Alligator mississippiensis: one gene and its partner. The protein of the gene in region 2 interacts with the protein of the main gene of each other region in a pairwise test. Links are inferred from orthologs where the notes say so. Each region holds a gene or a part of one and is shown on either strand. Other genes may lie near its edges. The genes, in order: PSMA3 and ZNF366.

Evidence for each region.
Region 1: the proteins of ZNF366 (region 2) and PSMA3 interact in binary tests that used the Homo sapiens proteins (3 or more experiments, as listed by UniProt). The link is inferred for Alligator mississippiensis from reciprocal best matches to the Homo sapiens genes ZNF366 and PSMA3.

What each region holds. Positions count from the first base shown.
Region 1 is NC_081825.1:295,235,964-295,244,811, reverse strand, and holds the start of PSMA3 (proteasome subunit alpha type-3), read right to left. Parts: upstream 3,773-8,848; 5' UTR 3,691-3,772; coding exon 3,670-3,690; intron 2,565-3,669; coding exon 2,482-2,564; intron 932-2,481; coding exon 808-931; intron 678-807; coding exon 576-677; intron 449-575; coding exon 375-448; intron 1-374. Other genes in the region: ACTR10 (actin-related protein 10), read right to left, coding at 6,482-6,663. UniProt on the Homo sapiens protein: Component of the 20S core proteasome complex involved in the proteolytic degradation of most intracellular proteins. This complex plays numerous essential roles within the cell by associating with different regulatory particles.
Region 2 is NC_081826.1:252,115,436-252,123,329, forward strand, and holds the start of ZNF366 (zinc finger protein 366), read right to left. Parts: upstream 3,485-7,894; 5' UTR 3,320-3,484; intron 1-3,319. UniProt on the Homo sapiens protein: Has transcriptional repression activity. Acts as a corepressor of ESR1; the function seems to involve CTBP1 and histone deacetylases.

The DNA of each region.
Region 1 (8,848 bases), on a different chromosome or scaffold from region 2:
ATTTTTCTTGCAGCAAAACTTCCCCTACATGCTATCTTCTAAACTTCTTAAACCCTTCTTAAAGTTTAGGGTATTACCACTTACAAAGTTGCTGGCACAATCTCTTTTCAGCAACTGACTCTGCTGGTTTCTTACATTGGTTTTTCGCAGCCTTCAGAATGCCTTTTTTTTTTTTTTTTAGTTAAAAGGCAGAAAGGAAGTTTTAAATAAAATCTGTGTAATATAAATATCTTTATACAGACAAGCTTTTCACTTCAAATTGCACTAAAATGCACTTACTGAGGCATAGATGCTATGTGAAGACTGACTTAAATACCAAACCAGATTTTGGGTGGGCAGTAAATAAAGAGTATACATATATTTGAAAGATGTACCTGCAGCCAAAAGGTCTCACGGCACTGTATAGTGTGTAGGCATGTACATACATGGCCACTCTATCTGCAAGATGCTGTGGGAAAAGGGAGGAAGGGTTTTGAAACACTTCATTTATGACAGTAAACATGCCTCAAGGCGATTTAAATAGATCATCGTGTTACAAGATCTAAGGAACTATACTGGGAGCACCAGTCACTTACCTTCAGTGGAATATTATAGCCATAGTTAGATCTAAAGTTAGAGGCTTCTTCTCTAGCTATGTCTGCCAAAGAACGTGCATCTGCTAAGAGTCCTGCCACTGCCTGAAATGAAGAGCATTAACAGCCAGTCAAAATGCAGACACCTTTTGTAACTCAGTGACCAAGGTTTAATTCTGTTTGTAAATTGTAGGATAGATTTAGGAGAACACATACAGCGTCAAATAATACTCACCATTCCAACATGTCGATCAACATTAAAAAGACGTTTATTGGAGCCTTCTTCATAAAGTTTGGACAGGACGAGTTTCTCTACTCCGAATACAACACCATCTTTACATCTTATGCCAATTGCTGTACTGAAAGATAAGTCAAATGTAACAACAGTCTTTAAAAAACACTAAAGCTTTAGGAGTGGGGTTGGGAGATTAAATGGTAGTGTTGTCATATAAGTGTGCACAGCAATAAGTACAACAGAATGCCATGATTTCAGTTCTACCTTGAAGATGCATTGCAACCCCTGAAACTTTCTAAAAAGAGCAATGTTTTAGCATTTTCCTTTTTCCCACCTTCCCTTTGCCCACATGTGGAAACTATTCACACACACTGCACATCTAGAGCTAAACAGTTTGGAAAATGTGGAAGATGGAAAGCAATTCTCTTGGAGCCTGGACAGCTTTGTTGTAGCTTTGAATTGGGGGCATCTTACAAGGAAACTGTGCTATTTTACATGAGTCTCCATCTCACCCAACAAACACACCAGGGGAACAGAAGCACAGCTCCTAAGTGCATCCAGGTAGTTGGACAAGTATCCCAAGGATGTCTGGACATCAGCTGATCACAAGGATTACAACCCCTGCCTACTCCATTTAGGCATCTCATGCATGTTCCCCGCCAACATACAGAACATGAGAGGAAAACAGAACCTAGCCAACACTACGAGTTCCACCAGCCAAGTGAATTCAAAAGGTATTCCTGGAAGACCACATGGACCCGAGTGGTATTTCTGTTGTCAAAAACCTGACCACTGTATTAACTACAGGCTGGCACATGCCTTTTTCAAAATGAGAAGACAACAGTTTTGGCTGCAAGTTTCAGATTTCAGGATGCACCGTATTTAGTTTTAGAATGGTATTATAAAGGTTGAGGCCCTTAATAATGTCACCAAGTTGGCAATATGTTGTCAAGATGATATACTGCTACTAACTGGAGGTTGTGAACAGTTTATTTCTACAGATCCCTTAGTCGGGATCAGGGCCGGATACGGTCCATGCATACAGACTGACTCAATTCCTCTCAAACACTTTCCTCGCCATTTGCTGGTGACAGTCAAGCCAAGCTGCAAGCTGTACACAGCGGATATAAAATTATATTTGCAGGCTGCTTCTTGGACAACATCTGTAAAAACATAGGTACTCTTAAGGAAGCCAACACTGTAGGTTTGGTACATTAACTGGCAACCTCCAGTGATGTTATTGCAAGCCTGCATGGCTTTGGGAAGTCATTTCTCAGCACCTCAATTCACCATCTATACAATGGGCTTTGACAAACTTCCATTATCTCCCATCCAGGAGCAAACCCTGCAATCAGCTTTTGCACCAAAGCATAAGGCTTTATTATCCTTAGTACGCTTCGATAATTTTACTCTTACCCTTCGCATTCTCTCACAGCATTATTTTATGCTTTTGGTCCTGCCAAAATGAACAGTCATTACATGCCTTATATATTTTATCAGAAAACATTATTGACAGAAAGGCAGGGCCACAATTGTTCATCAGTTATTTTGACGCTGTAATTTTCACTGCTATGTCACCATACTCATCTCCTCTAGTTCCACTGGTTTTTGTTCGTTTTTGTTGGGTGTTTTTTTTAAAAAGAAACTGATGAGGAAAAAACTTTTCTGTCTTACCTACTATTCTCCACAGCTTTCATGGCATATTCAACTTGAAATACTCTGCCATCTGGAGAGAACGTGGAAGCCGACAAGTCATACTGTAGAAGACAAACACACACTCAGCATAAAAGCGTTATCGATACAGTTCATATTGCAAGCAGCACTAAGTCACTCTTCTGTAAAAGTCTTAAATGTTTTGCAAAAAGTAGGATGCGCTAAATTTAACATGGGTTTTGGTGATTGAATAAAGAGGACAAAAATACAAAACATGTAAATCAATTGTTTCCTTTAATACATAAAGAAACAAAATGAATCAGTGTTGTCTGGCTTAATTAAAAGCAATTAAAAAAAAAATCACTTCTTTCAGGGACAGTCATACTGAAGCTGAAACCCATCAAAGGACAGGGCCCCGCAGGAACCTGAGGGATTCGAGGCTACAGCACAGATAACAGATTCACACGGGCTGTAACTTTGTGTGCGGTTCTTAGTAGTATTTTTAACATTTGCAATGCTTTTTTAAAATTGCTCTTCAGGCAGTTCGCAAAGGGAAAGGACGACGACGTTGTGGACGGCGCAGCGGCAGAGAACAACCTCAATGCGCTTCCCGGCGGCTCCGTCCACGTCCCGGGAGTCGGGCAGCGAGCAAAGAGGCGGACAGGGGAGCTGGGCGGCTCGGGCCGGGGCCGGGGCCGGGGCCGGGCCGGTCGCCAGCGACACCTCCTGGCTCAGCAGGAGCAAGAGCGACGCTTGTGTTTTACCACGTGAAGGATGGGAAGAGGAAGATTTCTGTTTAAAGGAAGGCTGCTCATCGCGTTTAACTGAACGTGCAAACCTGAAGGGCGGCTTGCACCCAAAAGCTCTCCTGACCTGCCCGCCAACTACAGAGTCGGTCCAATACGAGGCATCACCAAAAAAACCCAACCCAAACCCCGCTTGGTTCCGGCCAGGCCCTCGCCACTCCAGAAAAGCAGCTTTTCAGAACCGATGTGCTCCCGGGACCTTCCGAAAGCACTTCTCGTCGGCACCGTCTTACAAAGCACACGCTGCGCCGCCGGGCCCAGCCGGGCCCAGCTTGCCCCGGTCTTCCCTCGGCAGACGGGCGGCCCCACCCTGCCGGTTCCCGGTGCCTCAGCGGCGCCCCGCCCCGCCCCGAGGAGAAATGGGGGGAAGGGGGCAGGCCCGGCCCGGCCCGGCAGCACTCACCCCGGTGCCGATGGAGCTCATGGCGGCGGCGCCAGTCACAGCAGCGCCCCCACTGCCCAACAACGCGCGCGCCCATTGGCCCGCGCAACTGGCCAATCAGCTCGGCTGCAGAGTCATGGCCGCGCATGCGCAGCCGGGTTCTGACTTGTTTCTCTTTCCCCCGCCCCCCCTCCAAGGGGAGGACAAACACTGACTTCCGGAGTTACGCGCGCACGCGCAGAGAGGCGTAGAATTCTGAAGAAGCCTCCGGAAGAGGCTGGGTCACAGGGCCCGGCTAGCTCAGTCGGTAGAGCATGGGACTCTTAATCCCAGGGTCGTGGGTTCGAGCCCCACGTTGGGCGCATAGGTTTTTGCGCTGCCCGGGGAAGGACGCACGTGCTTTTTGTGCCCCGAGCAGTGATGAAAAGCACCTGCCCGAGGAGCTGCCAGACACTGGTGCGGCTACAAGGCCAGCCCTGTCCCTTGGCACTGCCCTGCCCACGGTGGCACTCGCCCACTCCCTATGCCACAGGGCACTGTGGGTGTGCCGCAGCAAGCCCGGTTACAGCTCAGGGCACAAAGTACACGCAACAACGGCTGACCCTTGCTGGGCCTTCGGGATAATGTCAGCCCGGGCTGGGGGCATCCGGACTCACAGGCCTCAGGGTCTGGGATGTGGCCGCGTGGGTGCGGGGAGCATCCAACCCCCCCGGCCTGGTTGAAGTGACACAGCCCACGGGCACCTGTAGACACGGCTCCCGAGTTCGAGTTTGGACTGGGATCGGCCGCTGGAAATAACACCCAAAACAAACCCCACGCCCTGGGGAGCCCCCGCCACGCCTGGGATTACAAATACGGAGCGCTGGGCTCCTTCTCCTCCCCTCGAGGGCACGCAGAGGAGGCCCACGCTGGAGCGACACCCCGCGCGCGCTCTCCTGGGAGGCAAGCCGGGGCCCAGCTTCGCACGTCTCCGGGGTGGGAAGTAGAAGAGCGGTAGCGCGGGCAGCGCTGCGTAACCGGAAGAACCGGAGCCTGGGGCATCGGGAGCCCCAACTCTGGGCAGCTCGTGATCGTGCCGGGAGAGGGGAGCACCGGGAAGCCGGTCAGCGCCACGGCCTGCAGAGGCTGGCGTTCAAGCGCCTGCGACTCCCCAGCAGCTGAGGCCGAGCGAGCCGTAATGCTTGTAGCAAGGGGTCCGTTCCAGTAGGGTTTTGCGCAGCCTTGAAAGCCAGAAGAGGCCGTCAGAGCATCAGGCCCAGCCTCTGCCGCCATTCAGGGCCCACGGGGCAGCAGCATCCCCATCCCACAGCCCAGCCTTCGCAGCTGGGCCTCAGGGCCTGTTTCCCCGCAGAGCAGTGACCACCGTGCTGCCCCGTGTCGGGGAGAGTCCGGCTGCCCAAATCTCCCTGGCACTCGAGCTCCGAGTCCCTTTGCCCTCGCCCAATTTCTCCGTCTTTGTTTCAAGGCAGCGACTCGCAGGAAGGCTCACTTCTGCTTCGGGCAACAGCCCAGCGCCTGCAGCTCCGCCGTGTCTGCCTAGCTCTCACCAAGCATCTGCTGGTTAATAGACTCCCGTGGGAAAAATCTGTCTTATTTCTCAATAGAGTATCTTACTTTGGTTTGCCTTCCCATTGGGTTTTGCTGCACCTTCCTCTGCTGGGTTCTCCCTTTAAAAAGGGCTTACACCTTGCAAACAAGTCGCCTCTTGCTTTTTAAGGCGTTTTTTCCATCCCTCAAATACTTTCTGTACACCACCCAAGTTTTCAGGCTCTTTTTTGGTGCGAACACCAGAACTGGCCCCAGTATTTCACACACCTACACACTGTAACACTACATCTACTTTAAGTGCCACAATAGCATGCTGTGCATATCCAGATACAAGATTGAGTTTTAAGACTGAATTTATGAAACAACAGATCTTTGGAGTAATTAAAGTACAGTAGAGATGCCCCAAATCTCCGACTGTTACAAGGTTTGTGGGGACATGCAATGAAAATGGAGTATCCCACTGCCAGTTATAAAACAAACCGGACTGCAGAAGCCAAAAATAATGGTCACTTGAGTCCCTGTTAACGAATCTGAAGCATTTTGTTTTTGGTCTGAATATTAGTAGCTATTGTACAACAGTTACCATAGAGATTAATTTTGCATTTGTATTTCATACTTACTGCTATAGGAGGACGTGTTTAAAAAATGCCAGAGGAAGTTTCCATTTTATTTGAAGTGGGGAGAGAAGTTCCATTATTAAGCTTCTCCTTTATAATTTCTAAATGTTCAGGTAAAAAGTTTTTAGCAGGTAGATTCGAGTGACAATGCATGTGACAGTGTCTGGCAGAAGCAAATCACTGAAAATAGGAATTTTAGGCCTAGCCCTTGATGTCTTTCCACAGACCTTGTGATCACAAAACTGTTTTCAGAAGATATTTTAATGCATCTTTGAGCCAACTGTTTGTTAATGTGGACACACACAGTCTGGCAGAGAAAATTCAACAGACATTTCTGGTAACAGAGTTTCCTCTATTCTTCTGATTTAAAAGTAAAAACGAAGCCTCCTAATTTCATCTACTGTACATATAAATAGGACAGACGACTTGGTAACAACTTTTGCCGGTTATATGTGCTCCCTAGAAAGAGACAAGCAGAGTACCCCATCTGGTTTTCGACTAGACGTGGCTGGATCCATCTGCAGCGTAGCCCTTCCCAGCACCACGCTCCCAAGCTACACACGTGTCATTCATTTTAAAGTGTTACATAATTTACCTAACATATGAAGAGCAACATTGTTACATGCACCTGAAACAGTCAAAGGAAAACCAGCGTAGTGCTTAGACACTTATTTCTCTGTGGAAAAAGCCCTCTTCATCAACGGCGGTGGTGTTTTGCCGACGTCAAACATCATTTCCAAAGGAGGGTTGTTGAGACAGCACCAGTCCGGGATGCGGCCCGTCTGGCTATAATATTCCTTGGACACCGAGCGGCTTCCGAGGATGTCTTGAAGTGCTCCAAAGATGGCTGCTGCGTTGTTGACAAAAAAAAGACACTTGGTGTTGGTTTGCCATATTGACTCCTCCCCAGCCAGCCTCGTAAATCTCAGCCATTTCAAGATGCCCAAAGGAAAGACAAAAGGCTGAAAATACCCTTTTTAAAACGTATTTTGTAGCTCACCCAGGCTCGCTTCAGCCCGCACCCGTCTTAAGTGATTAAAGGCACAGAAGAGTGGCTCTCAAGCTTCTTAAATGGCAGGCATCCCTCCACCACCGGTTTGAATGCGGCAGCATCCTCGGTTCAGAGGCACCGTTGTGCTGCTTCAGTTTACCTCTGATTCTCAACCGGACGCTGCGGCTGCCAATGCAGCCAGGTAAAGGTGCTCCGTGTGACTCATGCACGGCCAGACCAGGAAGGGGCACAGCATGTATGCACGCTCAACCTGCACTAGGGTTATTCAACAAGCCTAAAGCAAGCTTCCAGGTACCAGCTGCTGCCACAGCCCTTCCTGCTCCAAACCTGCACAGGGGCTCCTGGAAGCAAAGACGCATGGGCAGTTGCAACTGTCCCACGTACTTCTGCTTCCGGGAGGAGTGAACGTACGTGGGGGTGTGGAGGGAGGGCTGCAGCACAAAAGTAGCTCTCCTGCCAGCTTTAGGCTCATCAGAGAACTGTAACGCAGGAGGAGCATGGGCATGCCCCAGCCCTGCATGCACTTTTACCTGGCCACAGCAGCGGTGCCTGTGTTGCAGCACTTGAGGTGCTCTTGCAACACCGGATTGAGAACCACTGGCACAGACACGTGAAATAATTATACTGATTGAAAAAGGGGGGGGGAAGAAATCTCCCATGGTCCAGCTGAATCCAATGCAACTGCTTCTTGTGTGCTATACCCCTTGGCAGAACAGAAACTAAATTGCAATTAATTCATCACTTGTTTTATATGCGGCAAACCATTGTGGGTCCAGCTTCACTTACGGCATGGTAGATGTGGACAGACTACGCAGTTACAACAGATCAGCCGAGATACCTTTGTGAGTGCCAAGTCTGTGTCTGCCTCCTTCTAGACTAGTAGAATTGTTTGCTTGCTCACATTTTGAATTCACCTGGGCTTCGTTGCCGGCTAAATGAGCAGCCAGGCAGGAAGGCCCATAACTTGGTGACAAGGGCATTCTACTAGGAGCTCAAAGATGTGAGTCTCAGTCCCTTCAGGGTCAGGAGGGCCTACAGTCCAAGGTCTCTGGTTTCCTAGGGAAGTCTCCTTGCTGCTAGGCTATTGGACAGAAGTGGGCACCAGCATCATCATCATTTGTTCAAGAAGGAATGATGGATACCGTGCTTTAAACTGGACTCAATGCATTGTGGTGCAGGCAGGCACTGTCCCTCCGAGCGATCTGGATCTCAACAGAACGGAGCTTACTTCCTCAAAGCCCCGAGGTAGACGCAGGAATTCAGACACATCGCTGTGCCTAGCAGTTCCTACTGGCTGGCCACAGGTGCCTCCCTGCTTAATGGTAGATGCTTGAGATGGCCCTTGGGAAGCACAAGATCTCTTCATTCACTGTACAGGGCTCCTTGGCACCTGACCCTCTCAGTTCAGATCCCTGTGGAGGCAAGGTGCCTTTATTACAGGCATAACCACATGGAGAGCAGACATGCCTGCGGCCCAATCCCAATCAATCTCCAAGTGCTTCCACAGGTACCTCCTTTTCTCAGGTTAATAAACTTTTCCCAGACACCCAGCACTGTAAGTAAGTGCAAGTATGTCACATATGCATGAGGGTAAGTTTGCACTGGCCACAGAGAAGTCAGTATACATTAGTTCACCGTTTCTCAACACAGCAGGGCACAGGAATATATGAAAGGGTTACGAACAAATCTTAAAAATGGATTCTCCTCTGAAGAAGAAAAACATGGGCAACCGTGATTTTCCCTTGCAGGCTGCAAGGGGCTGCTTGGGGCCCCTTGTATCCCACTCATCCCCCTCGTGCCCCACACCCTGGGTCAGGAGTGAGGGGCACCGGGTTGGGACTGGCCATCGATGTTAGGTTGAAAACCACTGCATGAGTCAACTGGTATGTCTCATCAGGAAATGGAGACAGCTGGTACCATCATAATGAACACATTTCGTTCCACTGGCTCTATACCCCAACCAGGCCTTAGTTAATGATTTTTATAGATATTTAACACCACAACAGGAGGAAATAAAGTGTAC
Region 2 (7,894 bases):
AATAAATGTGTCGAAGTTCTGTTGATTAAATACTAATTAATTCTTTCAACTACTTTCTGGCTGTATATAGCACTTACTGCATTTCTGAAATGGTCCACTCATACAGGTGTCTTTACTATATCAGAGCCACAGTGATGAATGTTCTATGATTGGTTATCTATGCTGTAAGTTTGTTTTGTTTTGAGCTGTTGGTTTGAACCTACCATCAATTTTTCTTCCATCATAATTCTACCTCACAAATAGACCAAGCCTCAATGTCTGCCAGCGCACACGTGCATCATGCTGGCACACCAATGCATATCTCTTCTGGATATGTGTCCTCCAGTGCTCTAGGCACTTTGTATATCTACATTATAAGCACTAGGTTGAGATTCTTCTAGATTTCTGTGTAAAATACCAGATAATTAAATGACTGAATTCTCCTACTGCTGAAAAACCATAAAATAGATGCTAAAATGTGAGAAGAAATATTGTGTTTTAAACATGTAGTGCCAGAGAACAGGTTCCTCTAGTGATGAAAATCTATGCGCTGCCATTGGTAACACACAGATTGACATGAATTTATGTTAGCAGAGAATCTACCCCTAAGTCCACAGTTCTTGCCTCCCAAAAGAAGGCCTACTGAAATTTACAGAAAGATACCGATTGACATTGATGGGTTTTTGATTAAGTTCTTTGTCCTTGGACTTCCATGGGCCCACAGAAATTAAGGGCTGTGGGATTGGGTTCACTTATATGTATATCTACCATGAGAACATATTGTCATTTTTTATTGAAGTACTTTTCAAGATGACTTTTTCATTATTTAAAATGAAATGGTTCAACTTTAACAATTCTCAAAAGTTACTAGTATCTTTATTAAAAAACAAGTTTTTAAGCATGTTAAAAAAATATCTGTCATTGCTTCCATGAAAACAATTTCTTTTTTAATGATGTATAGAAATGAATCACTAAAACCACATTTCACAAACGTTCAACTTTTTGCCATAAACCAGTTACTATTCTGTACAAAGTTTTTTGTTTTCATAAGGGATGCTTCTCTGCCTGTTACTCTCTCTCAATGTGAGCTAAGAACATATCAACCAAAAATCTCCCTTTCCTGAACTCTCAAATAGAAGTGCACCTGTTTTATAAATTTGTCTTTATATAAAATGCTACTGTCATGTGCTTAGAATAAAAATGTACAAAAAAAGCTGCAAGTGACCAAAACTGAAATACTGCATCAAACAAAAATGAAACTGAAAGGTGAAATCCAAGAATAAATGCAAAGCTTCCACTTTCCAGTTACAATTCAATTATGCAGTATTACACTGCAGGGCTATTTTAATAGAATATTAATGAGGAAGTGAGTTTTAAAATAGCATAATATTACTTTTGACTAATTACTACAAATATAAATTATGCTTGGGGAAGGGTGGTTTTATTTTTTCATTTAGACTTGTAGAATTGCCTTTTTCCTAGAGCTCTTGAAGAAAGGCCTGGAAGCATGAACCCAAACAATGACCTCAAACATCCATGATTTTTTATAATTTTTCAAACTTTGTAATATAAACTGTGTAGTTGGCTCCTGTCTTTACTGTAGGCTGAAACAAACTTCTGGATCCAACTAGTTCAGAACTTAGAGGTGTTTGCTATTTTCATGGTCATTTGGCAGTTTGAGATTTATTTATTGTTTTAACAACCACAGAACCTGTTGATTAAGCAAGTGGCTTCTCTGTTTGATGTAGAGGTGAAGATCCAATCTTCAAATGCAGTTGCCAAAATAGGTGCTTAAATCCCCATTTGATTGTTTAAATCCACGCTTGGTCAGGAAAAACAGACAATTGATCAGCTAAATGGGAACCAATTTCCCAAATGAAAAACATGCCCAACCTATTTCATGTGTGCATTTGAAAAGAGGTCTCTATAATAGTGGCATAACTCTTTGTGGGAGAAATATGATCTAAATAAAGCTCATAATTGCACCAAACTAGACAAAGCTGATGCTTTTCACTACTGATATCTGTAAACAGTTACTCCTCCTGTTATCACTATGTTAAAATGTGCCGGGGGGGGGTAAGGGAGATCTTAGTAATTTGGGGTAAATCACTACCTGCAATGGAAAAACTCATAGAAAGGAGGCAGAGGGAGGGTGAAAGGATCTGTTGAACGGTTTGTTCAATCAGAAGGGCAAAATATGCCTCTCCTGAGAAAAGGCAGTCACTTCTAGTACCCACAGACTTCAGAGGCTCTACTAGATGCCAAAGCTGACTGTCTACATCAGTTCTGGGATGCCCTGTTCCCGCACCCTATTTAGAACAACATTGTTGAGATTTTAAACATCCAACAAAAGGTACGAAAGATCAGGAAGTCTCCACTTGCAAATAAGAATTAACCTAGGAGATGATTGGGCTTTTTCACAGAAATCTGATCACCTATTCTAATCTTTGTTGTCTCTGCTGATCTTTCTGTTCACTTGCTTTACAACAAATAAAATGCATGCTTAAATTTCAGTATTTGCTGTGCAGTAAACCTTTGCTAGCTTACATTAAATATCTTGTATCTGATACTCGGAAACTGTAGCTGACAAGCCAGTGGTAGATAAGGGTTGTAAATGCATGCACAGCACTTTAGTCTATCATTTCATGAGCCTTGGTAATTAATCTTAGTATTGGTCACATACTTTGTCATGTTAAGTCTTTGGTTTTCAAATGAAACTGGAATTTGCTTAAGTAGTCAAATGGCACAGTTTTCAGACTATATACATTTGCACAAGTGCTGAGATATACACACATATACTCGCACATAATTCAGTTCTGTTTATAAAAAAAACCAATTCATCCTCATTTCTGACACACTGGTTGAAGCTCAGTAGCTTGATTTACCATTTTAATTAATTCTTGGGATGTTAATGGCAGGTGATACATAAAACACACTAGTCATACATTACCCACTTACCTATCTCTACCTCTGCTATGGCCATAGTGAAGCTTGCTCAAAACTTCAACAGAGAGTGAATGAAGCCTATAATAAGCTACAGAGACTCCTGGTAAGAAGTCACCTATCCAGCTTCATAAGCAAGGAGTTATACAATTTAACATTGCAAATATCATCAAGTTAATTGAAAACATATCCTAGATTAAGCTTCATGCTACTAATGGTGGTATCGAGAAAACAGACTATTGATATCCAAAGTTTTAATATATACTGTATGCCAGTGTGCACAATCATTATCTTTTTAACAAGAAAAATCTGTATTTGATAAATTACTTTCCTGAATATAAAGGTGTATATTAAACTTCTAAAGCATTAAGCAAAAATACTTTCATGAATAACTTACCAGTTGCTGAATCTGGAATGATCCCTGCCCTATACTCCCTACCTGCTCTCTTGCTGGCAATCGCTCTCACTCTCTGTACTCTCTCTCTCTCCCCCCGTGTGTGGAGATTGCAATAAACTTTGAAAACTAGTAGGGACAGTGTCTGAAACAACTTAAGAAAGAGAACAGGAACAATCATTTCGTTCTCTTTTTTCAGATGAGTACAGTACCTTCAGAAAGAAGGAAGGAAGGGAGGGGAGAGGAAGTCAACAACCCTTTGCTTTCCTGCAAAAAATAAGGAAACAGTAGATAGCAATCTCGTTTTCTCTCAAACAAAATGTTTGGAAAAATAAATATAACCAAACCAAAAGGAATTCCTTAAATATTATAATTGCAGTATTGGCTTCATAAGAATTAATTTATCGCTCACTGTATGCAACGACATCAAAACGAATGAAGTTCCAAAAGAAGTGGCTACAACTTAGATGCCCATATCTCATGTGCAGAACTGTGTTAGCCAAAGAGCACAGATAACCTAATCCTTAGCTACAAACAAGGAGAACTCTTATATGACACAGTAAAAACAAAACAAATACATACATGGGTACAAAAAAGAAGAAACCTTCCATTGGTGTGAGGAAAAGAAGTGCAAATTTAAATTTACTGCATACTTGACAAAAATTACACATTGAGGGTAATTTGAAAGCTTTTGTGGTTACAACAAATCATTAGTTTGGTTTTATAAGGTAAGAAATGAAAGACAGATGAAAAGGCACCTTGGTTTGTCAAGGCAAAGACTATTTATCATGCTTTAGGTCTAGTTTGTTTTATTTTTTCCAGGTATATCAATATATTTTGGTCTCAGCCAGTGACCAATTTGTTAGAATTATACTTGTGATAATTTGGCCCCCTGTGCCCCATACTGAATTTTTAATGGCTGCTGACATTTACCAAACCAAAAGTCCCAAATCAACCAATGGAAAATCATCTTTCTTCCATAGATTTGTGAAGTTAAACTTTTTTTTTAACACAAACGTTAATGGCATTACAGTTTTCACATTTCTCTTTGGACTGTCTTCAGGAATCATTGAAATAAAGGAATTTCTGCACCCTGCTACTATAGCAGTGTAGTAGCCAATGGGAGGATGGCTTCTGATGAACAATTATATTTCATCATGCATAAAAACTGAAAAAAAAAAGCCTGCATCAAAAATTCCCTCATAAGGCCAGTTACCAGGATATAACTCTGAATGAATGCTTTTGAAGTCAATGGACTTGTTCTGGTAAAAATCTATTTATTATAACTGGAAATAAAACTTGGTTTGCATCCATTATTAAAAATGAATATTTCCCTTATTATACAATAACAAAAAGTGATAGGCTGGCAAGCCAATGTGGAAAATAAAGCCTTTTGACATGCAATGTCCTTTTATGCAACGAAAGAGTACCAAAACTATCTCCAGAAGTGATAGAGGCGGCTTAGCAATGGCTTGATTGTAGAGATCTGCAATTTATACAATCCCATTATACAAATTTGTCCCCATGCTGCAAATTTGCAGTTCAGGGACAAATTTTGCTACTGGGAAATTCCGGTAGCTAAAAAAAAAAAAATAAAAGCGAAAAAAGCAGCGTGGTGCACGTGTGCACCGGCAGACATAGAGGCTTGGTCCTCCCAGGAGATGCTCTGCAGCATTCCCTTTAAGCTGTGTGGTATGTGCAGCTGCGCAAGCGCACTCATGCCGCATTGCTAGGCATGCCTATGCGGCTGTGCACGCTGCGCAGCTTAGAGGGAATGCTCATGCTCTGGCAGGCAGCCAGAGTGTCTCCGCTCCTTTAGTTGTCCCGCAGCTCCTCTAGCATACTGGGAGCTGAGAGGAGCGGGGAAAAGGCAGTTTCCCCAAAGTGGAGCAGTTTGCCCCACACCAAAGTGCACATGCAGGGGCATGCACTGCAGCAAAAAGTATCAGCACAAATTTGTGCTGTTACTATTATTGCTGCTGCAAGCGCATGCCTCTGCATGTGGTGGCATGCCCAGTGGGTTCAAATGGATCTACTATAACAAAAATACTTAGACATTCCTAAGAGTAAAAGTGTTCAGTCAAATGCCTATACTGAATATAAGGAAAGTGAACGGGGTATGGGAAATGATCATGAAAACATACATGCTTTGAGTCAGTTTAATGGTTAGATCAGAAGTTTAGGAAGTGTTTTTAAAAAGAGATTTAATTGTCCTGTAAGTGAGATAGTAATTTCCAACATTTTGATCTTATCTGTGAGCTGTATCAGGATAATGCATCTTGTACGCTGGATTGAGAGTCAGTCCAGAGCTCTGAAAACAATGCTAACATTTTGGGTTGTCCTCCATCTGGAATGTGTCACAGAAGACTAGGCAAGACCTAAGCCTGGCCCAGACTGGGCAAAATTCAACAGAGCTCCAAGCAGACCGATTTGGGTGCAAGTTGCAGCTGCTGATGTATTTCTCAGCATTGGGATTGGAGTCTCTGGGCCCTTGTACACACCACAGAATTGGCCTTTAAAGTGGCTTAAATGCCCTTTTGCACTGATTTAATGGTGTTGCTGTTTGCACATTTGGTGGCATATTCCACTTAATGGCATTGCTGCTTGCACACTCGGCATCATATTCCGCTTTAAATTACTTTGATGCATACTAAGATAAAACACCTCTGAGGTGTTTTAGTTTGCAAAGTGCAACAGTGCACAGGGCCCTAGAAGCCGATGTGCTTGGGGCTTGGTGGGCCCCATGCAGCTCAGGGGTTGTGGGACCCAGCGGCAGCCCATGCAGGCAGGCTCCACTGGAGAAAAAAAAAGAGTGGTGAGCATGATCTTTTTTTTTCCTTTTCCCCCGAGCTTACCTGCCCAAGCTGTGTGAGAGTCAAGTGCTTCCCTCCGCAGCTGTGGGGAAGCTAGTGCTTCCCTCCAGCACTGTGGCACCCCTCGGGACCTCCTAGGCCCAGTGCCAGCAGGCAGGTGCTGCCTGGGACTGCTTGGCCTGCCAGCAGCTCAGAGCAGCCCACTGGCAGCTCGCTCCCCACCCCCAGTGCTGAAGAGGCAGGTAAGGATTAGGCCCCTACCTTTGTGTACACGCCACAGGGGTTTAGGCTGGTTTAATTCTCCCTAAATTGAAATGGTGTTTTAAAAAACCCACCATTTCAATTTAGGGAGAACTAAACCAAATTAAACCCCCGTGGTGTGTACAAGCAATCTCTGACTTTTTTTAAAGAAATAATTCATTTTTTATCTTTTGAGGTGTTGCAAAAGCTAGAAAGTGCTGTGATATAACCCATGATAATGAAAGATAATCTTATCCCTAATGATCAAGACTTTCCTTAGGGACAAGGATCACATTTGTGGGGGGTCAGCAAGTAATACAATGTTAAGGGGCAACCAGCATGGATTTATAGCAGGCAGATTCTGCCTGACTAACCTGGTCTCTTTTATGACCAGGTCACAAAGTGCTTAGATGCAGGAGTGGAGATAGATGTTATTTACTTAGATTTTAAAAAGGCTTTCGACACAGTGTTGCACCCAATTCTCACAAGCAAACTGAGTAGCTGTGATGTGGATTTTTTCACAGTAAGATGCTTGAAAAACTGGCTTATGGGATGCACCCAGAGAGTGGTGGTAGATGGGTCGGTTTCCTCCTGGAGAGATGTGGGCAGCGGTGTCTCCCAAGGCTCTGTCCTTGGACCAATAGGGCACATCCACACATACAAGCACGTGCACTTGCAACAGCTCAAATAGAAGCGGTGCAAATTTGAGCCGGGGCTTTTTGCTTCAGTGCACGTACTCGGACAGCACTTTGTTGTGGAGCAAATTGTGCCGCTAAGGGCAAAATAACCCTGTCTGGCTCCTCCTGGATCTTCAGCCAGGGGGAGCTAGAGCCCAGGGCCAGCACCTGTGCTGTCCCCAGCAGTATAAAAAGCTTCCCTATCCTGGCCCCAGTAGTATAAAAAGCCGCCCTGGCAAGTAGCTCAGGGATACTTGCTCTCAGGAGCTTGTTGAGCCCAGCCAATTGGTGCCTGGGGACATTACCCCTTGTGCTAGCTGGACTGCTGAAGCAGCCCTGAGAGTTCCCTGCACCCTCTACCCACTGCAGCAGTCTGGCAGTGAGGGCAGCTGCCTGGCTGTGACCTGCTGTGCACCTGCCAGACTTGGATAGGGACTGCACAGCCGGTAGAGGTATCTGCCCCTCTGGGACAGCTGCCAGTGGACTGTGGTTGCAGGGTTGGCCTTTGTGCAGCACTACTGCCATGTGTGCCCCCTGCCCGGCCATCTGGGCAGCTATCACCCGGAAGATGTTCTGGGTGTGGTGGCCTGCTTTGACCTGTCAAAGCATGTCCTCCTGGCCCCATATGTCCAAGAGGTCAGCCATGGCCAGCTGGGTCCACGATGCCAGCTCTGAGCAGGCAGGGTCCTGCCACTGGCCTCCCTAGCAGGAATTCTGGTGTTCCCTATTGGAAAACTGAAACATCCCTGATAAAAAAAAAATCTCAAAGTCACTCTGTAAAATACCCCTAAATCCATTGTTCCTTCACAAGTAAAACAAAAGACCACTATAAAGACAGAGAGCAGGAC